3 linked regions of the Cricetulus griseus genome follow. The protein of the gene in region 1 binds, or shares a complex with, the protein of each later gene. Links are inferred from orthologs where the notes say so. Each region holds a gene or a part of one and is shown on either strand. Other genes may lie near its edges.

Region 1 (9,215 bases):
CACTTGGTTAGCTAAGTTTAGAAACTCCCAATGCTCTGTTCCCCTTTAATGATTCTGCATTAAAGGATCTGTTTCACGGAACACTTCTGATATTACCATGGAAACCATTTGCTGTGGAATTGGTATTTCCACCCAATGCATTTGAAGAAAAACTGGTCTAACATTAGTTGCATTAATTTTGGTGGGATAACTTCAGAAGTCACTGTTCCTTAACTCTTGAATTAACTAAAATGAAAAATATTGGGGTCTATATCTGCATACTTTTCAGTGATACATATGCCTTTTCTGAAATCATTTTCAAAACACAGTTAAAAGTAATTTTGTTCCAAAGTTATTTGATGTTAAAAGCTTTATGTACAATTCAACAGCTTAATATAAAACCTTTGTTTTGGGGTTGTCTTGTACGGGTTCTCAAATCAGTGCACGTCTGTTACCTGAGAAGTTGACAATTTATACAACATTAGTTGGACTGCTGAATGCCAGAAATTACAACTTTGGTGGAGAATTTGTAGAAGCTATGATTCGCCAACTTAAAGAATCACTAAAAGCAAATAACTATAATGAAGCTGTATATTTGGTAAGTTTAATGTGTGTGTATGTGTGTGTGTGTGTGTGTGTGTGTTGTAAGTTAGTGTTAAAGTGGAGGAAAGAAGCTACAGCCGATTAATTACTCCCTTGTCCTTAATTCTTGTCCTTGTTCATCTTGTAACTGTTCTTTGGGAAGCCATTTTCACTTACTACTCAATGTGATGCATGTGTTTACTTTGAATCTTAGTCCTCTTCCTTGCAGAATGATTCCTTACATTATTTTCTTATCTCTTGGTTTCTAGAGCATGACTGTTTGAAGACCTACTACTACTACTACTAGTAGTAGTAGTAGTAGTAGTAGTAGTAGTAATAACAACCACCACCACCACCACCACCTCAGCATTGCTCCTATCTTTAATTCTTATCTCTTTCACTGGGTTGTTATCTTTTATTATTTAAATGTTTGTCTTACAGTGCTTCTGTCTTTTATTTAAGCTTTTCTGAATCATTCTCATTCACTCACATAGCTGCATAAACCAACTTTATTTTGAAGGGAGCCCCAAATTTATAACTATCTCCCACCTCAACCTTTCCTGAGTTCTAAATCTATATCCCAACTACAGCCCAAAGATTTTGTCCCTGCAAGTCCTGAAGTTTATGTGTTGTCTATATCCCTCTTCTGTCTGCTCACCAGCTCATGCACAGGGGCCACTATCTGCTGGGCAAGCCATCCAGAAATCTGACATTCATTTTTAGCTTTTCATTGCCTCCTTACACATCTCCAACCCCTCTCAATCCTCTCCTAAATTCCCTTCTTTGTCCCATGGCCTCTAGCACAACTTGTAACTTTTTTGTGTTCTTAGCTGTTTCTTTACTTGACCTTTGTCCATCTGACGTCTCTGCCTTTGAATCTGTCTTCAGTAACAATAGTACTAGAGTGACCTTTGTGTAACTAGACGCTGCTCCTGTTGGTTACTGGTTAAAGCTTCACTTCCTTCCTGTTTTATATAGTGGGTAGTCTTAATACACAAAATGATCCATTGAGCTGCAGGGAATCATATATGTATTTAACATATTCTGGTTACGTTGGTCCCACAATATCTTCTCTTTTCCCACCTGCTCTTGCTGTACTCTTTCTAGTCTCCTTTCTATTTTGATGTCTTTTTGTATATGTGTGACTCACTTGCATACAAGTGTGGGTGGTTATTTACTGGAACATGGATGGACACCTTACTAATGGCTACACAACTAAAGAAAATACCTCCTTGCCCAGAAACTTTTAACTACCAGTAGCTCCTCAGGAAAGGGTTGGGGCCTCATGAACTCCATCCCTGTCCATGAAGGAATGTTGACCTGTCTGTAGCTGCTGTGAGGTTTTTAGTGCTGTGGTCATATCCTGTCCAGAGGATAGCATTTTTGCAGACTCCTCCCCAACCTCTGGTTCTTAGGTTCTTTCTGCAACGTAGAACCTTTGTGTGTCTTGAATAAAAGACTTAATTAAGTCTTACTAATACCTAATACATAGATTGGTAGTAATCCAGTACTTACCATAAGTAAGTACCTACATGTTGAAAATCATTTGATCACAATCTTTTTTATTGAAGACAAATTCAGAAAATTTTGGACACCTGTCAGGATATAGGATTAAAGTCTTCATCTTTCATGATTGCCCCAGTCTGGTTGCTTTCTCTTGTCCCCTGTATACCCTGCAGCTATGTAGTTACCTGCACAACCCTGTGCCAAGAATGCCTTCCCTGCTCCCCACTGAGGGCTTTGCTCACGCTTTATAACCTTGCCCAGTTGCTTTCTCCTTACACTTTTTCCCTTGTTACCGATGTCACTGGTCCCAAGGGCACTTTTTAACTTACCTTTTAGTGCAGGAGCCATCCCTTTTTGTTGAGATTGTGTTTGTCCCAAATCTGCTATTAAGTTCCCTTAAACAGTACCTTAAATAGTGCTTATATAGTCTTGGCACGTAGTCAATATCTCTTTTACTTAAATTTTCCATTTTTATATTTCAGTAAAAATTATTCCTAGCCAAACAAAAAGACCAACCTACTTCAGTAGAATGGAATAACTAGAATATCTGGCTGTCCAGGTGCTTAATGTAGCATAGCATGGAAACCCACAAAGTCACAGATACCTGTCCAGCATAAGATCTTTAGTACAGCTACCCAATTTCACCATTGTATCACAGAAGCATGGGTCAATAAGTGGCTGAATGGGTGTGAACTGTCTTCTACTGCAAGCATGGTTATGCACACTGAAATTTGAATTCATGTCATTTTGTGTGAATATTACTTTGTTTTGAACATTAAATTTAGAGACTTCTTGGCTCACAGGTTGCGCAAACGAAAAGATAATAAGCTAAATACAGACATGGGCTTTATTTTGTGACTATTATGAAAGACTATTAGGTTAATACAGATATCCTTTGCCCTCACAGGTCCGTTTTCTATCTGATCTTGTGAATTGTCATGTGATTGCTGCCCCATCTATGGTTGCTATGTTTGAGAATTTTGTAAGTGTGACTCAGGAAGAAGATGTGCCTCAAGTAAGACACCTTTATGTTGAATCTTTTCTGTAAAGTACTGTACCAGATTTTTTTCCCTACTGATAACTCTTTAGCAGCAATAAACAAAATACAATAACAGATTATCACACTGTAGTGCTTAATACCTGAAGGGCAAATCAACTAACTGGCTTATTGGTGGGTTCTCTTGACATCATTGTGTTAGTTCAGATGATTTTAATAAGATTAGAACTGTAGGGCTGGAGAGATGACTCAGAGGTTAAGAGCACTGGCTGCTCTCCCAGAGGTCCTGAGTTCAATTCCCAGCAACCACATGGTGGCTCACAGCCATCTGTAATGAGATCTGGTGCCCTCTTCTGATGTGGAAATATACATGGAAGCAGAATGTTGTATACATAATAAATAAAATCTTTTTTTAAAAAAAGATTAGTAGAACTGTATATCTAGAAATCCTCTAGATGAGCCAGATAGTTTATTTAAGCCTTATTGAAAAGCCTCCCCAGGATTGCATTTTCGACTAAAAAAGATTGGCCTGGAGAGTTGTATAGCTCACTTGTAGAATGCTTGCTTAGCATCTGTAAGAATTGAACTTGATCCTTGACACTGGAAAGAATAAATAATAAGAGAATAAATAAATAAAGCTAACTAGCATGTTTTTGGTTTTGATTTTTTTTTTTTTTTTACTTACCTTTTTAACCTTTCTTCAGGTGCGACGGGATTGGTATGTGTATGCATTTCTGTCATCTTTGCCTTGGGTTGGAAAAGAGTTATATGAAAAGAAAGATGCAGAAATGGACCGAATCTTCTCCAACACTGAAAGTTATCTTAAGTAAGGGCACAGCTCGCATGTTCTTTGTTGTTCACATAAAGATATCCTGCTGATAGGATAAATGTCTTCAGTTTTCTTTCAGTTCCATTTTTTAAAAAACAAAACCTTAAAGCTTCTGAAAAAGTCCTCTATTAAATTTCATTCTCCTGCTGCCATAATTCATTAAGATCCCAGTACTTTGCTAATGTAAGAAGTTGGTATCATGTGTGCTAAGCAGTTTTCATGTTGTTGTGAAAGGCGTAGAACACCATGGTGTAGTAGTTCCACTAGTGTTCTAGTGTTCATATGTTTATGCTTAAAGGTCACCTATAGCACTTAAAATTATACCTCTGCCCAGGCATCTAAATCGAGTGGAAGAGGTTCAAACGATTCCATCTGATTGGGTTTATTAACAGTACCATGGTATTGTTGTGTTGTGTTTTTTTAATGGTTTTCTTTATTAGTATAATAAATTAGTTCTCTGTGGATATTTAGTTTGTGCAGTCTCCTTTTACCTTAAATAAGTATCAGGGAATATTATTATATATAATATATATGTATATATATATTGTGTGTATGTCTGTGTGTATTTATGGGGATATGAATTCATAGGAATGGAGTTGGGTGAAGATTCAGAACAACTAAAATTTTGACAGAAATGGTCACATTGTCTTCCATAGACATATTCTTCCAGATTGTACCAATTAACCCCTCTGTCACCAGTGTTTGAGATACAGATGTGCTGTTATCTTGATGACAAATAGACTATTATCAAAAATGTTGCTATCTGCTGATCTGATGGATGAAAATGTTTTTCATTCTTTTAATTAATACGTGAAAACCATGGAGTGTCTTTTATTTTTCTAAAGCCTAAGTGTAGATTTTCATTTTTACTCTTAGACGACGCCAGAAGACTCATGTGCCCATGCTACAAGTATGGACTGCCGATAAGCCACATCCACAAGAAGAGGTGAATTGTTTTCCATCCTGTGTTACTTGCACAGCTTTTGAGTAGATCTTACCTCTGTAACATGCCCAAACTATATCACCAACCCTGTCAACCTGAATTCAGTTCCCAGGACCCACGGGTAGAAGGAGGAAACTGATTCCTATAAGTTGTCCTCTGACCTCTGAGAGTGCCCTATGCCCCATGTGCCACACAAATAAGTAAAACTGCAGTTTTACTCAAACTATTGCGTTTGTGTATCTTAGCTAGGTTTTTAAATATTTCCAGTGAGGAATTAATTTCCTCAGATTCTTAAGCATAGAGGAGATATTTAATATATGTTTGAGTATAATTGAAACAGCCCCTTGCTTTTTAGAATACCAGTGTCCACACACTTGACACATTTTATATCTAAATACTCAATTTTAAAAATAGCAGACGCAGTCACCCCAAATGTTCTACTGAAAAAAAGCTGCTAAAGTAAAAATGGAGAATGGACTGCTTAGTGGGTAGAGGCAGCCTTACCACAGAATGGAAGGAGAGGAACACCTTCCAAAAGCTGCCCTCTGATCTCAATGCTTGTGGCAAGAGCATGCACACTAATGCAATTTTAAATTTTTAAGTAAAAAACAAAAACTTAGTGCCATTCTTTTCTACTGTATGAAATACCAAGTTAGTTTATTTTGTCCTGTATTTTAGAGAATAGACATTTTCTGTACTGTCTAGCCAAAATGTTTATATTAAATATTAAAATCTCTTTTTAGTATTTAGATTGCCTGTGGGCCCAGATTCAGAAATTGAAAAAGGACCGGTGGCAGGAAAGGCACATCCTAAGACCCTACCTTGCCTTTGACAGCATCCTCTGCGAAGCACTGCAGCACAACCTGCCTCCTTTCACACCACCACCTCACACAGAAGACTCGGTGTACCCGATGCCCAGGGTAATTTTCAGGATGTTTGACTACACAGATGACCCAGAGGTATGGGAGTACCCAAGAGTTTCCTTTGACTTGTACCCTAGATATTTTTCTTTTTCTTTGTTCTTTCCAGGGATCTTTTGAGCAGGGTCTCTCTGTGGACCCAGATTGGCTGTGAGTTCACAGATTCTCTTATCTCAGCCTTCCAAGTGCTAGGATTACAGCCTTGTACCGCATTGCCCAGCCCAGCACTGAAATAACCTTTTAATTTTCAATTAATTTTTCAGCATTAGATTGATTAAAACTATAATACCTTGTTATGTAAAAAATTGTTTTGTTCATATAAATAAGAGAGACAGTATAGTTTACCATTCAAGAACCAATTGGTTAGCATTTTAATGCATATACTACGTGGGAGCATGAGTGAGTTATTTACTTCCTGTGCCTCAGTTCCCAGAGGAACAATAATAGTATGTAAAAAATGAACAGTGTCTCATATGAGTGCTCAATTTTAGCTGTTTGGGTAGGGGAAGTGTTGTGGGGGGTGAGCAGAGGTTGACTTCAGCTGTCTTTCATTGATCAGTGTGCGTGCGTGCGTGCGTGCGTGCGTGCACAAAGTTTCTCATTGAACCTGGAACTCACCATTGTATCTATATTGGCTGACCAGTAGGCCCCATGGGATCTGAGCACTGGGCATAGAGGCATGTGTCACCAGATCTAGCTTTTAATGTGGATTCTGGGGATATTTAATTCAGTTCCTCATGCTTGTACAGTAAGCACAATACTCCAATATCCATTGAGCCATCATCTCCCAGGCACCATGTTTAGCTAATTTTTGTTGTTTGTTTAATGTGTGTCTAGGTAGCCCAATCTGTCCTCATTGTGACAACCCTCCTACCTAGGCCTCTTGAACTCTGAGATAGTACTCGTGAGCCACTATGCTAAACATGTCTGCTTTTTTCCTTCTATTTTCTGAGAAAGGGTCCCATCTAGCTCAGGCTGGTCTGGTACTTGCTGTGCAGTTGAAGATGACCTGTAACTTGTGATGTTCTTGCCTCTGCTTCTGTTATGATTGCAGGCATTAACCACCATGCCCAGTTGTATATATTGCTAAGGATTGAACCCAGAGCTTCATGCAAGCATTCTACTGACCAAGCTACCCCAAGTCCCATTTAGCTATTGTTAATTTTTTTTTCAAGAAAAATGCTGCCTTTTCTAAATTGTCCATATTTTTAAACAACTCAGATTAAGTGACTCATTGTACAATTATTAAAAAGTATTTTGTCATCCTCCCAACTTAACATTCTAATTTTTTTAATTTATTTACTTATTTTTATTACATATACAGTGTTCTGTTTGCATATTTGCCTGCACACCAGAAGAGGGCACCAGATCTCATGATAGATGTTGTGAGCCACCATGTGGTTGCTGGAAATTGAACTCAGGACTTCTGGAAGAGCAGTCAGTGCTCTTAACCTCTGAGCCATCTCTCCAGCCCCCTAACATTCTAATTTTTAAGATGATTCTTATAGTGTTTTTGATTATGAAGCCAAGTTGTTGGCATCCCATTAAGAGGAGAACATGATTGCGTTGTGAATATTGGAAGTAAAAATGAATATCTTAAGCACACTAATTATTTTATATCTCAGTGTGTGATGTCTGTCTTGAAGCCAGACAGCAAGCATATAAGTACTAGATTGTTTCTGGAAGAAGTTTAGCTAGCTAAAGAACCAAAACTGTTGCTGGTTCCATTGTTGTTGCATGTAACAACCTTAACCCTCAGCACAGTGGACGTTTCAGGGTACGTATTTGTGAACGAGCACCATTCTGTGTATTATAAGGTGCTTGGCCTGGCTCTACTTCTCTGGTTGCCCTGTCAGGTAACTAGTGCCATGTGCCAAAATAGTTAGAGAACACCTGCATTCCAAGAGTGGAATTTATAGTCTGTATGTTTAGCACAAGTGAAGTATAAAGAGAATCAGCTGCTTTTGGATGAAGTGCTACTGCATATAGGACTTTGGTTTGGTTTTGATTTTGTTGTTATTTATTCTTTTAAAGAATACAAACAGAAATAAAGCAGAGACTCCAAATGTCCCCTTTCCAGGTTTCCCTTGCCTGGAAACTGCTCCTTAGTCTGAGTTTCAACCTCTTCTCCCTGGATCGGCTGGAAACAGAACATGACTAGGGTGGTGGTGGGAAAGACTTGGTGAGGATCAGTTTGACACAGATGGGTTTAACACCTGGCTTGGGTTCCCATTCAATAGTCCACCCTTCCCAGAATAGTGGGAGGACCTGATTGCCTGCTTTGCTGTATTAACTTAATAATATAATATAAATTAATATAAGAAAGCACTTTGATTCAAAATTACATGATGACCTAGTAGGTATTTCAACAAAAATCTAGTTTATATTCATGACATTTAGTCTTTGTGATTAGTTATTATTAGTTATAGCAAAAGAAACAAGAATTTGACCTCAGAATGTATTTCTCTTGTGCTAATTATATTTCCTGCTGTTGCTGCACACTGTGCCTGTCTTTCCTCTGTCAGAGAATATGAATACCCCAAATAGTTACCTCAAAATGAAAATGTTTCATTCTGTGGCAGAAACAGGTTACATTCAATTTTTCTTTTTTCTGGAGAGCCCCCACAGTGATACGTGTCCTCACACCTTCTGAGTATCTGACCTCAAGCTTCCTTTGGCCTTTTTAAGGCACAGGGGCGGCTAGCAAATTTCGTCTCTTTCTTTTTCTCTCCAGTTTGGACCAACCATATATGCTATTGCAGCACTTCCAGTTCGTTCTTTTGTTTCTTTTGTTTGTGTTTCACCTGAAATTTATAGCTGATATGTGTGGGACCCAGGTCCTGTAGGAGTCTCCTAGATCTTACCAGAAGCTGGGTTCTCAGGTCTTCTAAGGATGAAATAGATGTTGTATTCTGATTTGAAAGAAAGAAAGAAAGAAAGAAAGAAAGAAAGAAAGAAAGAAAGAAAGAAAGAAAACGTTTCAGTCTTTTGTATTTTGATAGTGTCTTTAAAAGGTATTTATTAAATTTAGAATACTTGAGTGGATAAAAGCACAGGCCATGAAATCTGACACCAGAGATCCATCATAATCATGATGACCTGCATGGTAAAAAGAGACAGCCAGTTCCCCACAAATTGTTTCTGATTGCCACAAATGTACCATGGCACACAACCACACATGATGGATGGGTGGGTGGATGGATAGATGATAAGAGTTTTTTAGAGAGAAAGAGATGAGTTGGTTTTTAAAATTTTTTTAAAAATTGATTTGTAAAATAGGCATGGTGGGTATTTGATATCTCAGGGGCACAATACATTCTTGATTCTGTGGTAGGTACCTAACAAAACAGTTCAGTCCTAGATGCAAGTATTTATTGAATAAATGAAAGAAATCTGTTTTGTGGTTCTGTGTGTGAGTTCATTTGTTCTTCCTTCCAGGGTCCTGTTATGCCAGGGAGT
Region 2 (9,674 bases), about 85 Mb from region 1:
AATAAATGTAGACTACCCATCCAGTCCAGAGATATGTAAGTCTCTACACATCCAATAAAACTGCAGTGTCAAGAATATGGTGGTTGAGTGCCTGTAATCCCAGCCCTTGGGAGGTAGAGGCAAGAGGATCAGAGTTTAAAACCCATCTTGTTACAAGGTAAATTTGAGGCTGGCCTGAGCTGTGGGAGACCAAACAAAACATCCAAATAAAAAAGCGACACTTTTCATTTACAAATTAAGAAAATAAATAGCTAGGCATAGCGAGTGGCGCATGCCTTTAATCCCAGCACCTGGGAGGCAGAAGCAAGCAGCTCTCTTGTAAATCTGAGACCAGTATGGTCTACACAGCAAGTTCCTAGGACTGGCTTTATCTCAGGGTTCCTTCATCAATGCAACAATTCAATCTCAGCCGAGTGTTGGTGGCGCACACCTTTAATCCCAGCACTCGGGAGGCAGAGGCAAGCAGATCTCTGTGAGTTCGAGACCAGCCTGGTCTACAAGAGCTAGTTCCAGGACAGCCTCCAAAGCCACAGAGAAACCCTGTCTTGAAAAACCCCCCAAAAAAATAAATAAATAAATAAATAAAAAAATTCAATCTCAAAAAAGAAAAAAAAAGGGGGGTGTAAAAGCATTAGTTTCTGCTACAACATAGTTCATAATAAAACTGAAGGCGGGCAGCAGTGACCCCTGTGGATCTCTGTGAGTCTGAGGGCAGCCTGTTCTACCCTACAACTCCTTCCAGGACAGTAGAGCTGCACAGTGAAACCCTGCCTCAAACAAACAAACAAACAAACAAACCAAAAAGAAAAGAGTAGCCAGGCATGGTGGCAAATGCCAGTACTCAGGAGGCAGAGGCAGGTGGATCTCTTGAGTTCAAGGCCAACTTGGTCTACAGAGCTACGGAGAGAAACACTATCTTGGGGGGGAAGGAAACTACAAATCAGATACTGCACGGCTGCATCTGTATGACAAATTTACTAGGGCAGAAAAGCATACTTGTCTGGGAAAGAGAATTAGGATATTAATAGTAAACGGACAAACCGATGAGGACACAAAAGATTTTACTGGGTGATGGAGAGAAAGATTTTAAAAGCAAAGGTTGTAATAAATAATAAAGTAATGGTCATAAAACTGGGCAATTTGTCTCCATAAAAAATCAACACCTGAAAATGAATGACTGTCATATTAACATAATAGCTATGTTATTTTTCAACTTAAGAGTAACATTAAAAATTTTACATCCATCTGTGTGGGTGTGTGTGTACCATGGCAGAAATGTGGAGGTCAGAGGACAACTTGCAGGAGTCAGTTCTCTACTTGTACCACATAGGACCGAGGATTAAACTGGCACCAGGCTTGATGACAAGAGCCTAAATCAGCTGAGCCATCTTGCCAGCCCCCTCTGGGTTTTTGTTTGTTTGTTTGTTTTTTCCTTTTGAGACTGTATCTCATCTAGCCCAGGCTGGCATCAAGCTCCCTATGTAGCTGAGAATGATTTTAAACTTCCATCTCATTAGTACTGTGATTACAGGCATGCAACACTCTGCCCAGTTTATGGGGTGTTAAGGATTGAACTTGGGATCTCATGCATGTTAGGCAAGCACTGTACCAACTGAGCTACGTGTCCAGCTCAACGTTATCTTTAAAAAGACACAAATTCGAGCGTAGTCAAATATGCTCTGGGTTAATTCCTTTAAGAAAAACAAAACAAAACCTCAGCCAGGTATAGCATACACCTTTAATCCCAGCTCTGAGAGGCAGAGGCAGAGGCAGAGGCAGGTCGATCTCTGTGAGTTTGAGGAGATCCTGGTCTACAAAGCAAGCTCCAGGCAGCTAAGACTATTGGGAGACCCTAAAACCAAACGAACAAATAATCAAAGAAAAAAAAAAAAAAAACAGTCAAAAAGGAATGCATTTAGCATCTACTTTGCTTCCTGTAAATACAAGATATGTGGACAAGTGCTTACCTGAAAGCAATTTCATCAGCCACTTTCTCTTGAGAGTCATCTTCGGTGATCTCATAGCGGCCTTTGTAGTTCATTTCTACTCTGTTGCCCAGTCTGTCTTTGACAGGCCGTTTCCGTTTGAGATGACCTTGCCCATTCTCTTCTTCCTTTGACCCCGGTTTTTTATCACCATGCATATATTCATCTAGATCTTTGTCTAATTCTTTTGTGGACTCTTGAGACTCCCGCTTAAGTTTCTTAGCAAGCAAATAATTGTAGGTCTCAGACTGCCTGCTTCTGTCAAGGGTACCTTCCATTCCCAGGATGCCAAGTTCAATGGCCACCGCATCTTGATTTTGTTCCTGGAGCACAGCACCCCAAATATTGTTCACCTTCCTCCCTCCATTGAGAGCTGTTTTCTGACTGCTCTGGCCAAACGGAAAAGGCTCTGGTTTGGGAGGAGGGTTAAGACATTTCTGTCGCTTCCGTTTCCAAAGAGAGCAGTCTTCATCTGAATCCACACTCTCCTCACTGGAATCCACATTTTTAACAGTCCGATAATGTGACACTGGTGCACAAGCAACACTGTCCCCACCTAGCACTTTCTGCAAGTGAAAGAAAGCAGAGTCATTTCCACAAAGCATTAATTCCACCTACCGTGGGCTATTTTTTACAGTGATGTAGGTATTACGAATGCCTGTCATCCCAGCATTCCAGAAGCAGGAGGACCGGAAGCTTAAGGACGACTTAGGTTACACAGTGGGTTCAGGCCTGTCTGAGGGGCATGCAGACTTTTATTAAGGAGAAAAGGTTGGAGGAGAAAGAGTGTACCGGAGATTCCACTGGAGCATCCAAAAACAATCTCTCTCCAAAGACAGCTGACACTAATAATCTAGTCTCTATTAAATTAACTTGGTGCTGGAAGATTGCCTCCTAAAAATTTACCAAAGCCTTTACTTCTCATCCTCAAAGACCACATCTGTGAGAATGACATACACAATAATTGTTACTGGCAGTTAGGACAAAGTTTGTTATCTTTCCCTCCAAAAATATATTTTCTAGTTGAATGTATCAACTTCCTTTATATGGTTCTGTGGCCATTCCTTTAAGACATGATGGTATCAATCCCAGCACTCTTGGGAGGCAGAGGCAGACAAATCTCTGTAAATTCAAGACCAGCCAGATCTACATAGCGAAGACCCTATGGGGGGGGGTGTAAAAAATTAATGGTAAGCTCCTATGGGAAGAATCCCAGAAGTATTACTTTTAACTGCAGGTTTCATCAGGTGTAGTAGTGCACACCTTTAATCACAAGGCTAAGGCAAGAGGATCCTGGTTTTGAGGACACTTTGGGCTATGAAAAGAGACCCTGTCCCCAAACAAACAAAAACAAAACTCCTCAAAATTCAGATTTCACAGCATTATGTTAACCAAATTATTAAGGCTTAAAAAAGAGGATTGAAAATAAGATCCTAGTATTAGTTTCCTAAAACAACTACATGTGAAGATTTAACCACCACATAATAACTACACAAATTTATGCGGTACAATATGATGCTTCAATATATGTATATATTTCATAATGATCAAATTAGGGTTGTTAGCTTATCTATCACTGAACATTTATCATTTCTTTATGGTGAAAAAGACTTTATGGTGAATAAAATCTTTTTATTGGGGGGGAGAGGATATATGTGAATTACACTTGACTTATGCCTCCTGCATGCTAGGCAAGCACTCTATAATTGAGATTTACCCCACTCCCTAGTTATTTAGAAATATATGCTACTGTTAACTAGTCACCCTACTATGCAAGAGAGTCCTGAGTTTATTTCTTCTAATTGTAATTTTACCCTCAATCTTGGCTTTCTTTCTATACTAAACACAAAACCAAGCATTTATTGAATTCCTCTTAGGCATTTAAAATGAGCGAGATGACTTAAGGCAGTAGATGAATAGTCTTCCAGCAATAGCCGCTGGCAACATTGGCCAAGCCTTACAGTGTGCAGCACTCGCATCACACCCTTACATTACACCCTGAGCAGTGAGTGCATCATGCCAGTCCCACCTGAAAACCAAAACGGCAGTTAAAACACTGCGGATAGCGGCGGTGGTAAGGATTGGGTGCGGGAAGCCGGGCTTTTTAAGGAGTAACAGAAGGTCCCAGAAAATTAGGAAGCTGCCTAGAGTGGTGGTGCACTGTGATCTCCGAGCACTTGTGGGGTATAAGGGGCAGGACGACAGTTTAAGGGCCCGATCAGCCGTAGGATACATATCGAGATGCCGTCTACAACCCTGAGCAGCTGAAACAAAGCCTGGTGCCTCCACACTGGTACGTGGAAGCTGACCAAACTCGGGGGTGGGGGGATGGTGGAGACAACACACACCGGGCCCCGGGTACGCAAGGAGCTCCCTGTCCGCCAGGAACAACAACAAAAAGAGCATCCGAGGCAGTCTCAGCTCTCTGTCCCCACGTTCCGTTTTGGGCGGAATCTGTGTCCAGGGGCGGCTGTGCAGGGCCGGGGAAGTGTGCAGAAGCAGGAGCCGCCAGCGAGGGGATGTTCGCCTGTTCGGGAGGCCGCGAGGCCGGCGGCTCCGCGGGGTCGAGTCTCCGCCGGGGCCCCACAGCCTCCGACTCGCCGCATCCCGAGGCCGCCCGCGCCCCTCCTGCCGGCCGCGCTCCCCCGGTGTCCGGCCCGGTCTCCCGCGCGCCCTCTCGCTCACCGCCATTTGCACCGGCCTGTCGCTGGGTACGACCGTCATGTCGGAATCCGAGTCGGAAAGCTGCCCGTCTTCCATGTCGCCAGCTTCCAGCGCCATCTTCCCGCGGCGCGCAGGGTCAGGAGAGCGCTTCCGGCGGACGGAGGGGAGGCCCGATGGCCGTGCTCCGGCGCCCCCGTGCGGGCGGCCCCCGAGAGCGTCACCATAGCGAAAGTCACCGCTGGGAGGCGAGGTCCGCGCTCCCCAGCGATTTCCCTGCGACGAGCTCAGGCGGCGCTCGGTGATTCCGCTCCGACCTCCGGCCTCTCACCCGGATGCTCCGGACAGGCCTTCCGGCTGCTCGCCTCCGCCTCAGCTCACCGCCTCACTCGGCTCGCCCTGCTCGCACGCGTGGCTGGCTGTGCGGGAGTCACTGCCCCACTTCTGTTCCTAGGCCGCCCTTGCTGCAGCTGCTTTTCCCAGTCACCCGTAGGCCATTCTCCCTGAGATGATAAAATGGCTCACCTCACCCCAGGGTGTTTGGCTAATCACGGCTAAATTATTTTTAAAGTGCTGTTAATGTTAATGATAGGCTTTAATAAGCACTCCTTTTAATGTTTATGTTTTTTTTTCCCTTTAGCCTAAGCTGGTGGAGGCCAGGGCTGTTTTGCAAGAAATAAATCGTGTTATATGCTGCCTTCTACATCATTGTGAGTTTTTTTTTTTTTTTTTTTTCGAGAACCATAAGACAAAGTAAGCTCTTCCTAACATTAAATGGCCCGGCGTTGGTGGTGCACGCCTTTAATCCCAGCATTAGGAGGCAGGAGGCAGAGACCTGTGGCTCTCTGTGAGTTCGAGGTCAGCCTGGTCTTCAGAGCGAGTTCCAGGACAGGCTCCAAAGCCACAGAGAAACTCTTTCTCGAACAACAACAACAAAAATGTAAATATTAAAGTCTTATTAAATATTAAAATAAACTATTATTAAATAATGGATAAATAAATTATGTTCGTGAGGTGGTTTAGCGTTCAATTACAGATAATCTGGAGGCGAAAGCCCACCCTTTACCACCACCGTCCCCAACCACACCCATCTCTTCCCTTAGTTGGTAACTGGTGCCTGCTTGTCTAGGCATTACAGTTTATCCTAGGGTTGAAAAGTTACAGGCACTCTGCCACGTGACTGAGCCAATGATGATCAGAAAAGGGTATCCAAGACCCATTATATATGGTGGATAAGGTTGTATATTCTGAGCCAATAGGATGGGGCGTTGAGGGTGCTTTGCTAGGCGAGAGCAAAGGTTGTATAGCTCTCTGGAGTACCAGCCTATGGGAAGAGGGTAGGATTTTTTTTTTTTTTCCAATTGGAAAAAACCACTGTTTCAGGCAGAGCCAGGCGGATCTCTGTGAGTTTAAAACCAGCCTGGTCTACAGAGCGAGTGCCAGGATAGTCTCCAAAGCTGCACAGAGAAACCCTGTCTCAAAAAACAAAGAAACTAAAACAAAACAAAACAAACAACAACCAAAAAACCACTGTTTCTCGAAAAGCCAAAACCAAAATAAATAAATAAATAAACAAATAAAAATCACTATTTCATGCCAACCTGGTACACCACTCCTTTTAGTAGGCCAGCATCCATGTCTACAGAATTGTAAAATAAAAACTTTAACTTTCCCTAGTCTCTTGAATTTGTTATTACAAAGTGAGGGTCTTGTTTCTCACATAACTGAGAGTTTTTAGTCCCTTCCTTGGTGACTTAAGCAAAGAACTGTAGGGGGCTGGAGAGATGGCTCAGAGGTTAAGAGCACTGACTGTTCTTTCAGAGGTCCTGAGTTCAATTCCCAGCAACCACATGGTGGCTCACAACCATCCATTATAAGATTTGGTGCCCTCTTCTGCTGTGCAGATATACATGGAAGCAGAATGTTGTATACATAATAAATAAATAATTAAAAAAAGCAAAGGACTGTCAGCCAAGCAACTGAACAGACTGCCCTCATGCCAGTCCAGTAATTTAAAACATTACATAGACATAATAGACACACAGCAGCATGGTGGGGGTGCTGTGTTTTGTTTTTGGACAATGCTAGATTCACAAATAGTAGGCAAGCGCTTTACAACTGAACTGTGCCCTCAGGGTCAAGCTTTGTGATCCTCATAACTACCTTCTTTAAGTCCCAGAACACTGTGCTCAGCCTCTTTGTTTTGTGTTACACACCTCACAGCCATGTAGCTGAGCATGTCTTTGAATTCCTGGTCCTCCCAAACACTGCGATTGTAGGCCTGTACCACCATACTTGGCACATTTTATCTTTTCTAGTATATTGCATACATGAGGTTATTTATGATGTATTATTTTATATCTGGCCTCTTATTACATGTAGTGCTTTTGGTATTTGTCTATGACTTTATGAGAATGGGGAGATTTTTTCCCCCCAAATGAATCTATCATTTTTACTTAACCACTAATTAATGAGCATTTTAGTTGAATCTAAGCCAGTCTTTGTGATTATAGTTAATATTGGTCTGAGTTCTACAGAGAAATGATAAACCACATTTACAGAGAGTTTTACAATATAGAATGAATTGGCTCATGTGACAATGGTGACAGAAAACTCACACAATCTTCCATCTGCAGACTGGAAACTGGGGAGGTTTATTGGTTTGAGTCTGGAGGCTTAAGGAAAAGGAAAACCTATGGTATAAATTCTAGTCCAAGTCTATTATAGTATGGATATTATCCTCCAAGGTGATTGTTTTGTTTTGTTTCGTTTTGTTTTTGAGAGGGTCTCACTGTGTAGCCTTGACTGACCTGGACCTCACTATGTAGAGCAGGCTACACTAGACTGAAACCCATAGGGATCCTCTGCCTCTGCCTCCCAGGTGCTGAGACTAAAGGCATGTGTCACCACACCAGGCAGGGTTCATGTTTTGAGGGGCTTGTTTCTGAGTATGTGAGGGATGCTGGGCTGGGGAGATGACGCATTAGGTAAAGTGCTTGCTATGCATATATGGGACCCGGGGTTCAGATCCTGAGCACTCACTTAGATGACAAGTGGGCATGGCAGCTCACATGCAATCCTAGCTCTTAGGAGGTGCAGGCAGGAGATTCCCAGAGGACATTGACTAACTCAACAAGCTGGATCAAGCTCTGGGTTCAAGTGAGAGATGCTTCAATATATAAGGGGGAAATGACAGAGGAGAATACCCGCTGCTCACATCTGTCTTACACGCATGCACGCACATGTGTGAACACATGAAATTTGGCCTGGCAGAAATGAGAATAAAGAGCTTTTTCTTTATCTAAATCTCTAAATCTATCAGATTGTTGAAGCAATAAACCCAAGAAACAAGAACTTCCCCAGGGATCTCATGCTTGAAAAAGGAAAAGGCACAAGGTGCGGAGGGACTGGGAAAAAAAATTTCCCACACTTCTAACTTGTCAGACTGTAGAATGAGAATGAAGCCCAGACAATGATGGGTAAATGAGCAGTGGGCAGGACCACACTTTGATCTGGACTCTTTAGAGTTCACATTCTTGGCCTTTATTTAAACTTTAATCTCATCTTGGGACCCAAAGATGGACTTTAGTGGGAGTCATGGATCTCTTTGTCCCTCTTCCCAATATGGCTGCATTGAATAAATTTCCTTTTTCTGATTTTTACTATTAATTTGACTATTTTAATTGACTTCTGGAGGAACTTGACTTCTTGGAGCATAGACTGTGACCTCCAAATTCGGTAAAAAAGAAAAGAAGAAATGCTATGGTTCCACAAGTCTGACTTTTAAAAAAAATAGTACCACATGCCTTTAATCCCAGCACTCTAAGGAGGCAGAGGCAGGCAGATCTCTATGAGTTCGAAGCCAGCCTGGTCTAGAAAGTGAGTTTCAGAACAGCCGGGGCTGGTACACAGAGAAACCCTGTCTTGAGAAACAAAAAACAAACAAACAAACAAATGTACCAATTTGACAGACTATTCTTGTAGGTGTTATTGTCTTTTGCCCCTATCCCATTTTCCCTCTTAGGACTATGGAACCAAGCATCAGCTGAAAAGAAAAAGGAGACTTATTTTTGGCTAAGAGCAAGAGAAATGGAAGATAAACTTTCAAGTCAGTTTAGCAATGCTTGGGCATTGAGAAATAACAGGTACAGAGTTAAGAAGTGAGGAAGAGGTAGGGGGGCTGGAGAGATGGCTCAGAGGTTAAGCGCACTGACTGCTCTTCCAGAGATCCTGAGTTCAATTCCCAGCAACCACATGGTGGCTCACAGCCATCCATTATGAGATCTGGTGCCCTCTTCTGGTGTGCAGATATACATGGAAGCAGAATATTGTATACATAATAAATAAATAAAATCTTTAAAAAAAAAAAGAAGTGAGGAAGAGGGGATAGGCTTTAAAAAGGGGGGATATTCAGATTTTTTTGTAGATTGGATAGTGAGCATTTTGGAATTCAGATGATACTTCTCCCTGCTCCCTTCCCCCTTTTTTTCCTTTTGATCACTGCCATGGTAATTGTTAAATGTCACCAGTCTGTAGTGGTGAGACATAGGCCAGCAGTGTTTCCCCTGTAGCCCGAGGAGTTCCTCACCTTGGGGTTATGGAATGGGGTAAAGTTAAACCTTTGACTACACAGCAGAAATAAATTCCAGAACCAGCCAGAGAGAAGCAAAGTTAGCAACCCTGCTAAGTAGAGATAAGGGATAGTGCATACTTCAGATTTAAGTGCTGGCTCTGAGAAAGGCGGGGAGAAGGCTATCCATACTCAAGATGGGTAAAGAGCTCAACAGAGAGTTGTGCTTAGTGGTTTCCATGGTAGATAAATGTGATTGCAACGTTCTGTTACATTGCTCCAAGAAAAGTAATCTACAGCAAGTTTTAAATATTCAACAAAGGTTAAGAATTAAGTAAAAACATATGGTCCAGTTTACTTTTTCTGTTTTTTTTTTTTTTCTGAGACAGAATTTTGCCACCATCACCAGCTCAGTTTTCTTCTCTTACACTCAAGAATTTCTTTTTACAAATAAAATT
Region 3 (10,014 bases), on another chromosome or scaffold:
GGCCAGAGTTCCAGATTAGCCAGGGCCATATTAAAAAAAAAAAGAAAAAAGAAAAGAGGCAGGTACTCGCGCTCTTGCTCCGTCCTGGTTCAATGGTTCCATTAGATGCCCAAGAAGGATACTCCACAAAACAGAATCCACACGCCGTTTTCTTCATTTTATCCAGACCCATGATGATCTTCTTTATATCACCACTCTTGCTGAAGAGTTCATAAATCTGTTCTTCAGTTGTATAAAAGGAAAGATTTCCAACATATAATGTACAGCTTTTCTTCAGTAATTTTTCTTGTTCTTCATTGTCACCCTAGAGTTTCAAATAGAGACGAAATTAAACATTACAACCTAAAAAGAGATTTGTTTAGGGCTATAGAATGCTTAGTCAGGAGAAGCACTAGCTGTGCAAGCCTGACAACTTGAGTTTGATCCCTGGAAGCCCAGTGAAGAGCTGGATGTGGTGGCATGCACCTGTAATCCCAGCACTCCTACAGAACATGGGACCGGAATAGAGAATCTCCTTGAAGCTTGAGGCCAGCCCAGTCTGGAGTAGACAGTGCAGAGCAGAAACAAGAGTGAATCCTCCATAAGCATTACACATATATAAAATGAACAGACTTGAAAACTAAAATTACAGAGCCTTGGTTAAAGTCATATTTCCAAGTATAATAAAGATGCCCATTCTGATCTGGAAATTAAAGGCTCTCATCTTCTGATCCCTAGCACATACTCTTCCTTGCCCTAAGAGGTGGTTGTGGGGTGAATGCAGAGATGGCTTATAGGTTAAGAGTACTGACTATTCAAAGTGTGAATTTGTTTTGGGGCATTGGAAATTGAACCCAAGATATTACATATTAGGTAAGAACCCTACCAGTCTGGAAGTATTCCCATTCTAAAATACTAGTGTAAGGTTCAGCCTGCTTTTAGTGGAGAAACAAAGCACATATCCTCCTATATCATACTGCCATAAGAGTGGCATGCCTTTTTCTTGCATAGTTCATTGCCCTCAGCACTGGATCCTTCTCTAATGGCCAAGTTCAAATTCTACACCTTGACAGAACATATCAGAAAGGCCTTTTACCCTTTATAATAAAAGTAAGTCTTGTCAGTACTCCCCTAAAGCCTGTTCATAGCAAAAACTGCTAGGTGATTTGCATGGTTATGTTTTTGTGCATGTAAGAGGTTAGTGACCACTAAGAGGATTTTTTTTTTCTTTTCTTTCTTTTTTAAAATGTGGTCTCTCTCTGTAGCTTTGGCTAATGTAGAGCTCAGAGACTTGCCTGTTTTAAGGCTCCTAGTGCTGAGATTAAAGGTGTGCACCACCACTGTCTGGCAAGACTTTCTTTAAAAGACAGGATGAAGCCAGAGAGAGTGAGAGAGAGCGAGCGAGCGAGAGAGAGAGAGAAAGAGAGAGAGAGAGAGAGAGAGAGAGAGAGAGAGAGAGAGAGAGAGAGAGAGAGACACGTGCTAAAGATGGGAGTTTAAGCGAGCTTCAACCAACATAAAGCAGTCCCCAGGTATAAGATGGTTCATTGGGTCTTAGATGTGGTATTTGATTATTTGTGGTGATGGGGAATAAACTCAAGGTTTCACGTTAGCATGCTGAGCAACACCCCCAGCTCCAGGTTTGTTTCTTATCTCTGGGACCTTACATTATAGTCTAGACTAGTCTTGAGCTTTGAACACCCTGCTTCAGCCTCCTGAAAGCTGTGATTATACACATGAGCCACCACACTCAGCTAGCATGGTGTTTATCAGAAGAAAAGGGGGGGGGGAGTTATCCCTGGGCTTTCTAGCATTCCCACTGGAAAGGACACAAATGCACAGATGTGACTAAACAGATATACCAACTGACCAGACATTTTTTAGTCCAGACAACCATATGATAGAATCCAGTCTGGAGGAGCTGATAAGACTTAAGTTCAGGGAATTCACTCTAGAACTCTCCAGTTTTCATCTAGTATTCCTTAAGTAATGTTGATCCAGTTCCCTTTTTTTCTGAGAATATGAGTGCACTAATCACCTGCATTCTTTTTATAACAGAGCTCAGGCTAGCAGGTATTTACTTATTATGTATGCAGTGTTCCACCTACATGTGTGCCTGCAGGCCAGAAGAGGGCACCAGATCTCATTACTATGGTTGTGGGCTGCTCTGTGGTTGCTGGGAATTGAACTTGGGACCTTTGGAAGCCAGTGCTCTTAACCACTGAGCCATCTCTCCAGCTCTGCAGTTTTCTTTACTTTTTAAGTTATTGTGCATGCATGCGTGCATGCGTATGCACGCACAGTGTGACAGCCCTTGGAGACCAGAGGCATCAGATTCCCTGAAACTGGCTGTGAGATGATACCTGGTGTGTTAGGGACTGAACTAGAGTCCTCCAGACACCCCCTACCACTTTGTTTTTTTTGGGGGGGGTTTCAAGACAGGGTTTCTCTGTAGGTTTGGAGACTGTCCTGTAACTCTTTGAAGACCAGGCCTGCCTCTGCCTCCTGAGTGCTGGGCTGGGATTACAGGCCTGTGCCACCACCACTCAACTGTCTCCAGATGCTTTTGTTACTGTTTTTTTGAGACAGGGTTTCATGTAGCTTAGGCTGTATTGAACCATTGTAACCAAGGATAACACTGAATTGCTGATCCTCTTGCCTCCACTTTCCTAGTACTGGGCTTATAGGCACTCACCACCACTCCAAGTTTATATACAGCTCAAGATCTACCCAAGAGTTTCATGCATGCATGCTAGGCAAGCATTCTACCTGTTGAGCTAAGTCTACTTAGCCCAATTGTTTTCTGAGATAGCCCAATCTGGCCTCAGACTCCTGAGACTCATGCTACCACCTCCCCCAAATGCTTCAGTAACAGGCATGGGTCATCACACCCATCTCCAAGTTACAGTTTTTGGCTTGGCTTTATTATTATTTTATAGGTATGGGTGTTTTGCGTGTTTGTATGTCTGTGTACCAGATGCATGGCTAGTGCCTTCAGAGACCAGAAGAGGGCACCAGATCCTTTGGAATCAGTTACAGATGGTTGTGAGTCATCATGCCAGGACTGGGAACTAAATCCAGGTCCTCCAGAACAGCTTGTGCTAACCTCTAAGACATCTCTCTAGCTTTCCAAGTTACAGTTTAAAAAACAAAACAAAGTAAAATTCTGGTCTTATCCCCACTACCACATTGCCTTAAGATCACAACAGGACTGAACAGGTGAAGTCTATGGAACAATAGTCATTTGCATTCAAACAAACAGCTGGGTGCCCTGGGCGATGGTGGCACACACCTTTAATCCCAGCACTCGGGAGGCATAGGCAGGCGGATCTCTGTGAGTTCAGGGCCAGCCTGGTCTCCAGAGCAAGTGCCAGGATAGGCTCCAAAGCTACACAGAGAAACCCTGTCTTGAAAAAAACAACCCCAGCTGGGTGGTAGTGGTGGTGTTGCATACCTTTAATACCAGCACCTGGGAGGCTGAGACAGGCAGATCTCTGTGCGTTCAAGGCCAGCCTGGTTTACAGAGGGAGTGCCAGGACAGGCAGGGCTACACAAGAAACCCTGTCTCAAACAAACAAACAAGCCCAAACCAAATAAACCCAAGGTTTTAGAACTTTCGATGATCCATTAGAGAAAATAATCACTTCAACATTTTCTTTTACATGTTCCAGCTGATCTCATGGGATCTTCCTGCCTCAGTCTCCAGAACAACTAGGAATACAGATGTCCACCATCGCACCTGGCTAGCAGATTCACTTTGTACTGCTGTTCGTTTCTCACAAGTAAAATCCAAACAGTTTACAGCTTCAGTGTAACTTAATTTCACACTCAGTACAGCACTGACACTAAAAAATGCACGACAGAAATTATTAATGTCCGAACAGAGCTACAGGCTTTTGACAAAAGAAATAAATGATCCCTCTCCTGGTTTTAACCTTGCAGGATGCTTTAAATTCAAAATCGTTAGTTACTGATGTGGAACTGTTGAAAGTAATGGGAACTGTTAAAAACAAAACAAAACAAAACAAAAACAGCAGTACAAGTGAAACTCATACCAGACACACAGTATACGTTTTCAAATTAAGCTGATTGAGTTTCTTTGTGTTTTTGCTTGTATTTCGAGACAGGGTTTCTCTGTGTAGCCAGTGCCTGCACTGGATTTTGCCATCCAGACAACCTTATTGTGACTCGTGTGGCTTGTCCATGCCCGATGCCCGTCAGACAGCAAAAAACAGGGCTCAACTTTGAGTCTCCTACTATTGCCAACTTTGTAGGACTGTCTTACAAAAACTAAGGACTGTAATACCAGACGGGAATGTCTAGCTGATTATAAAAACAAAAACGGCTATACTGTCTGGGTCAGCCAACGCAGGGATAACTCCTTCATTACAGACACTTTCCCAAGCAAGACAAGCCCATCAAAACAGCCACCACTACCCGAACCTCCCTGCATTGGTGCTGGTACCCGCAGCAGCAGTAAGAAACTGTAAAAGCAAATCCCAGGTTCCCTAGGAGTAAAGTGGCTTCAATGATATCCAAACACCTCTGGGACCCCATTCGCATTTTAGGACCCCAACAAAACAGGAAGGAAGACACAATAAGACGAGTGGAAGACACAGTAAGACAAATGCAAACCGTTTCTCAGTATTCCAGCCCAAAGCCAGCCCCTCTCGTGGCCCGGCCCGCCTCACCCGGAAGTGCTGGTCCCGGTACTCGCTGAGCTCCACGTAGGAGTCACTGCGTAGCGCCTTCAGGAGGCCACCGGACATGGTGCAGACACGAACCACGACGCGGCCACGACTGGAAGGACCAGGCGGCGGTGGCGGCGGAAACGGAAATGCGTGCGTCCTGTTGCAGTAAGCCGACGTGGTCAGGGCCAATCCTGGTGCGGCTGTGTCGTCATCATGCGGCGCCGGCTTGTCCGTCGTCGGGAGTGGCCGGTCGGAAGGTGAGTGAAGGCTCGCCCCGGGTTCCCGGGCGCTCCGAGGACGATGATTTTCCGGCGGCTGCTGGCAGCCCTGCTGCACAACCCGCAGCTGGTGGAGCGGCTGTCCGAGTCACGGCCTATCCGGCGGGCGGCGCAACTCACGGCTTTCGCGCTGCTGCAGCTGCAACTGCGCGGCCACGACGCGGCCCGCCGTCTGCGCGCCCTCGCGGGTCAGCCCCTAGGCTCCTTGGGTCGCCGCGCCACCCGGTTCAAGGACACCTTCACCCAGGAACTCCGCCGAGGCCTCCGGGACCAACCAGGGTCATCCCCAGGTCATCAGAAGGGTCCGGGCACCAAATCATAAGCACAGACTGCACTCTCACGGGCCTAGGTCACGTTCCCCCACCCCTCCCTCCAGTGATCTACACCGACCTTAGCAAACATGAGTCATCTCCCGCACGATGCACGGCCTCGAATCCTGACGCGGCGGTCAACATACAGAAGCCTAAGGTCAAATGGACATGTGCGTGGTAGTCCTGTGACTAGGCAGGACGTAAAGACCCCGAAGGCCACCAGAGATAAAAGTCAACACCAAAACTTAGTATGACTGAGAGCCAAGGACAAACGACCAGGAAGCCTGCCTTCTGCAAGCGGGACTGAAGCGAAATAAACGCTACTGCCATCTGCACTGGTGCAGGAGAATACCAGGGAAGATGGTAGATGGAATGACAACCCTGAGGTTGCCAAGATCTCTGGTTAAATATGTAAGCTGCTAAGTCTGTAGGATCTTGCTAATAATAGTTTACACGTTAAGCGTCTGTGTTGCTATTTGCTGTTGCATTGTGTGGTTTGTGACTTAAAACCCCATTCGTGTGAGAAAGTGGAGGCCACTTTTTGAACCCAAAGCCTTGTACAATGAGGTGAGCCCAGGCGTGTGACTCCAGGATCTGTGTTCTTGAGCACTCCCTGCTCAGGGACTGGCTTTTCAATCTCCACTGAGCACTGAGGCCTCTGTTATAGCAGCACAGGATACTTGGTTTCCTTGAGGCTCTGTCTGGAGTACTCACTATGGTCAGTTAACTGAACTGTGATTAGGAAACCTGTGCACATAAATTGCCTTGTCATTTTGAGACTCCTAATTCAACTTCTAGACCTCCATTTAAGCCACTCAGTTAATCTTAGCATCTAGAAGGTTGGACTCCATTAGAAAAGCTTTTAGACTGGGTACCAGATTCTGAGCAGTCTGTGTTCTGTTTCCACTGGGGAAGGCCAAGGGGGCCTTACAACAGCACTGAGAAAGGAGAGCACCTGGGTTCTTCATTCTGAGAGATTTTTTAATTTTATAAAATTTTTTATTTTTTATTTATTTTTTTTATTTTTTTGGCTTTTTTGAGACAGGGTTTCTCTGTGGCTTTGGAGGCTGTCCTGGAACTAGCTCTTGTAGACCAGACTGGTCTCGAACTCACAGAGATCCACCTGTCTCTGCCTCCCGAGTACTGAGACTAAAGGCGTGCGCCACCAACACCCGGATGAGATTTTCCTTTTTTTTTTTTTTCCCATCTTGGTGCTGGGGATAGTTCCTTAACCATCCTAAACAGGCATTGTGCCCCTGAGCTTCATTTCCTGATCCTTTAGACAGTGACTGGAAAAATCCCACCACTGCTCATAAAAGGAGTCAAAGAGGATAGGAAGACATTCTCTGGAATGGCTTGTTTTGGTTATGCCCAAACCCCGAGTCCACTGGCACCAAAGTGCCATGAAATATAACACAATGACTGCTTCCTGGCTAAAGAGCCTTGTAGAGACATGTTTATCAATCTGGGGGACATTAGTCTGTGGGCTCCAGGGCTGACACTGACCTCAGGACCCTCCTGTCTGTGGTGAGATTGGGTGATTGGCTGAGTGGAAGGGACTTTGTTAAGATCAGTTTGTGAGTAGCAGACTAGGGACTAGAGCTGAATGTGAGCCACCTGCTGTCCCTACTTCACACTGTATTTGTTTAGAAAGCCAGATTGGAAATCAAAGGTTGTCATGGTAACAAGAAGTCAGGCATTGTGGTAAGTTTGGGAGAGGCCACTTAGGAACGTCATCAGCAGTTCATTGTCTTTGATAACCAGGCGCTACTATATATTTAGACATTACACAGCAATTGGAGGTAACGGCACAGAAACAAACATGTGCCTGTGGCTATGGTAGGCTTCTTTGGGGACCTTGGCATTGGGACCATGACTGGTCAAATCTTTGGTGTCTGAGGAAAATGAATGTGGGCTCACTTAGAGGAACAACCTGTGGGTATGCCCATCAGAGACAGCAGTAGAAGTCCTGTTCCATTATCCCAGCCCAGCAGCCTGTGAGGAGTGGCACCTTCTATGGTTGAATCTTAGGCCATGGCTGCTTTGTCATAACGGGCTTCTCCTCCAGCTCTATGACATGAAGACTAAGGTGGGTCCTCCAAGCCCCACTGAGCAGGGAGGACAGGGCTGGAGGGTCCTCCAGGGTCAAGTGGGGAAATAAAAGAGTTTCATTCTTGAGAGAGAAACTACACTTCTCCAGAGCATGCCTGTTGGTCCCAGGTGTTACAACAAAGAGCCGGCAGAGCTGTGGCCCCCCAGCCTGTTGGCAACCTGGTTGTCTGCTGAAATTGTTCAGGGCTTGGCACAGGACCCTGTCCTCAGCTCCAGCCATATCCACCACCTCCACAGGTGATCCCAGGCCTGAGAGGTGCAGGAGGTGCTGAGGAGGCATGTAGGTGTGGGTGAAGAGAAGCGTGTAGTGGGTGGCCCTGCCCGGGAGGACAGGTGCATGGACTACATGCTCCAGGTATTTCAAGCCAGGTACCAAACCTCCCTGATGCAGGCAGCCAAAGATGAGCGCACCTAGGGCATTGAAGAGGACCAGGGTACCCCTCCAGGGTATAGGTTGTGTTTGCGGACTACAAAGCAGGATTAGAGGGACTATGAGGGGAATCAGGAATCTAGCCTCTTGGTGGCTAAAGGCAGACAGCAGGACCAGGGGTGTGAAGTAAAGGAGAAGGAGGTAAGACTTAGAACTAGGCAGTAGGCCCTGGGGACCCCGCGCCCTCAAGAGGCCGGTTTGTGCAACTGCATGGAGGCAGCTGTGGAGTTGTTGCCATGCCGCCTGCAGGGCTTGAGCATGCAATACCCCGAAGAGCAGAAAGCCATTGACTGCCAGGTGAGTGAGCCGTGCATGTGTGCCATGCCTTGCAAGGTTTTGGGGGTCCAGGTTATAGTACAAGAAGTTTACAGGTGTAAGAACAAGGCCACTGGATCTCGAGAGGCTGGAGAAATACCAGCTGTCCATGGTTATAAACAACACTGCAGCAAGAACAGCCCCTGGCAACAGCACCAGGGCCTCCTGAGTCAAGGCCTTGATGCCAGGTTCCAAGGCTCTATGGATTCCCCAGAGAGAGAGGGGGGCCAGAGCAAAGGCTAGAAAGGTTGGCCGATTGAAGAAGCCAGCAGCCACAATGGCACCAAGAAGGCAGCTGTGCCACCATGGACCCGGGGTAGGCTTCTTTGATGTGGGACTCCATGCCACATAAGGGGACACCAACACCAGCAGCCAGGTGAAGAGAAGTCCCTCGATGGTGTTGGAGAAAGTCCTTGTGTAGAAAACCAGGGTGACATAGGACCCAGACAGCAGGCACATGGCATTCCAGCGATCTGCCCCCCACAGTGGAGCCAGATAGTACATAGCCCAGTCCAGGGCAAAGGAGAGGGTAGTGAGGAGGAGTCGGGGCCCCACCAGCAGCTTGTAGCCACTCACCAGACCAGGCCAGGGCCCCAGCTCTTCCCAGAGCCTGAGCAACCAGAAGGTAGAGCCAGAGGTCAGCAGGGGGAAGACCACAGTGCGACAGGAGTTGCTGGGGTAAAATTCCCAGGGCCGTGAAGCCTGCACACCCAGGATGTCCTCTGCAGAGAGAGAGGCAGGGATGAGCCAGTTCCAAGCCTGTGCTGGGAAGAGTTCTGGGTTGGCACCAGGATTGCAAGGCCCCCTGGTGGACACTTCGAGCACAACCCCTGGGATTGCACCAGGTGGGTTTTAGTGCTTTGGTAAAGCTATTTGGGAGAGTCTCTCAGGCAGCCTGTCCCCTCTCCCCAGCTCTTTAACAGCAGAGGGCCTCCACCTGGATGCAGAGGAGACCGGCAAAGACACAGAGCAGGAAAAGGATTTTATGTGCCCCAGTTGCTATTAGAAACAATGTGGTGACCTCCAGAAACAGCAGGGAAAGAACTAACATGTTACTTTAAGTGAAGTGAATAAAATTCTGCCAACAAGAATGAGCTTGGAAGCCAGGCATTGTGGCACATGCCTAGAATTCCAGTACTTAGAGATGCAGAGGCAGGAGGATCAAGAGTTTAAGGTTATATAGTGAGTTTGTGACTAGTCTATACCATGTGAAGAGACTTGTCTCAAAAATACAGGAAAAGGAGATGGAATTTTCCAATGTACGATTCAAATCTAAATGTTGAGCCCTGTGACAGTGTTAGGTCTCCCGTGCCGTGATTCCTGTCCTCAAAATGAGTGCTCTGGTGCACACTTGAAACATTTGGAGTCTGAGTCAGGAGGACTGCTACAAGTTTGAGGGTTTCCTGGGCTACGCAGTGAGTTCCAGGGCAGCCTTAGCTGTATAGAGAGATGCTGTCTCAGAAGGGCAAGAAAACCAAGACTAGCCAAGTGTCTGAACCTTTCTCCTTTAGTCTCTTCGCTGGACACAGGGCCAGACATGAAGACTGTTTTCATAGCCATGGGTTTAAGGGCAAGCCTGAGCTGCAGTGTGAGACTGTCTTTAAAAAAAAAAAAATTGCCTGCCCATTGTGCACCAAATCCTGGGTTCAATCCCAATCAGCAATCCAGGAGTGGTGGCACCTGCCAGTGATCACAGCACTCTAGAAGTGGGGGCCAGAGAATCAGGGGTCATGGCCTTGGTCAGTTCAAAGCCAGCCGCTGCTACATTACATCTTGTCTCAAAAGAGAAAAGAGGACTCAGGAGGCAGAGGTAGGAGGACCTCATGGAGTTGGAGGCCATAGTGAGCTCCAGGACAGCCAGGGCTTCACAGAGAGACCACGTCTAAAAAAAGAAAAGA

Evidence for each region.
Region 2: the proteins of Ncbp1 (region 1) and Phax are in contact, whole or in part, in a cryo-EM structure (PDB 8PNT), measured with the Homo sapiens proteins. The link is inferred for Cricetulus griseus from reciprocal best matches to the Homo sapiens genes NCBP1 and PHAX. Residues at the interface, in NP_002477.1 of Homo sapiens: Cys380, Lys381, Pro384, Pro388, Gln389, Leu391, Ala392, Thr395, Phe417, His420, Leu421, Asn423, Phe424, Gln425, Arg427, Trp428, Ser429, Asp432; in NP_115553.2 of Homo sapiens: Ile114, Asn115, Asn116, Ile117, Trp118, Gly119, Val121, Leu122, Glu124, Gln125.
Region 3: the proteins of Ncbp1 (region 1) and Ncbp2 are in contact, whole or in part, in a crystal structure (PDB 5OOB), measured with the Homo sapiens proteins. The link is inferred for Cricetulus griseus from reciprocal best matches to the Homo sapiens genes NCBP1 and NCBP2. Residues at the interface, in NP_002477.1 of Homo sapiens: Glu32, Cys36, Leu71, Thr74, Val75, Arg77, Leu78, Leu79, Ser324, His325, Trp326, Lys327, Glu328, Arg329, Lys330, Ile368, Val370, Met371, Thr374, Glu378, Asn415, His419, Ser422, Asn423, Gln425, Lys455, Arg458, Leu459, Ser460, Tyr461; in NP_031388.2 of Homo sapiens: Gly4, Leu5, Leu6, Lys7, Leu9, Arg10, Ser11, Asp12, Ser13, Tyr14, Glu53, Glu54, Gln55, Tyr57, Glu58, Leu59, Lys62, Ser63, Asp65, Lys67, Ile69, Tyr89, Asn96, Arg99, Tyr100, Asn102, Gly103, Thr104, Arg105, Leu106.

Annotation. Positions count from the first base shown.
Region 1 is NC_048595.1:97,271,443-97,280,657, reverse strand, and holds part of Ncbp1 (nuclear cap-binding protein subunit 1), read left to right. Parts: intron 1-420; coding exon 421-577; intron 578-2,974; coding exon 2,975-3,082; intron 3,083-3,768; coding exon 3,769-3,890; intron 3,891-4,769; coding exon 4,770-4,839; intron 4,840-5,579; coding exon 5,580-5,795; intron 5,796-9,194; coding exon 9,195-9,215. UniProt on the Homo sapiens protein: Component of the cap-binding complex (CBC), which binds cotranscriptionally to the 5'-cap of pre-mRNAs and is involved in various processes such as pre-mRNA splicing, translation regulation, nonsense-mediated mRNA decay, RNA-mediated gene silencing (RNAi) by microRNAs (miRNAs) and mRNA export.
Region 2 is NC_048595.1:182,315,013-182,324,686, forward strand, and holds the start of Phax (phosphorylated adapter RNA export protein), read right to left. Parts: upstream 4,826-9,674; 5' UTR 4,767-4,825; coding exon 4,671-4,766; intron 2,552-4,670; coding exon 1,968-2,551; intron 1-1,967. UniProt on the Homo sapiens protein: A phosphoprotein adapter involved in the XPO1-mediated U snRNA export from the nucleus.
Region 3 is NC_048597.1:57,546,738-57,556,751, forward strand, and holds the start of Ncbp2 (nuclear cap-binding protein subunit 2), read right to left. Parts: upstream 4,826-10,014; 5' UTR 4,749-4,825; coding exon 4,671-4,748; intron 305-4,670; coding exon 123-304; intron 1-122. Other genes in the region: protein NCBP2AS2, read left to right, coding at 4,971-5,270; Pigz (GPI mannosyltransferase 4), read right to left, coding at 7,274-8,838. UniProt on the Homo sapiens protein: Component of the cap-binding complex (CBC), which binds co-transcriptionally to the 5' cap of pre-mRNAs and is involved in various processes such as pre-mRNA splicing, translation regulation, nonsense-mediated mRNA decay, RNA-mediated gene silencing (RNAi) by microRNAs (miRNAs) and mRNA export.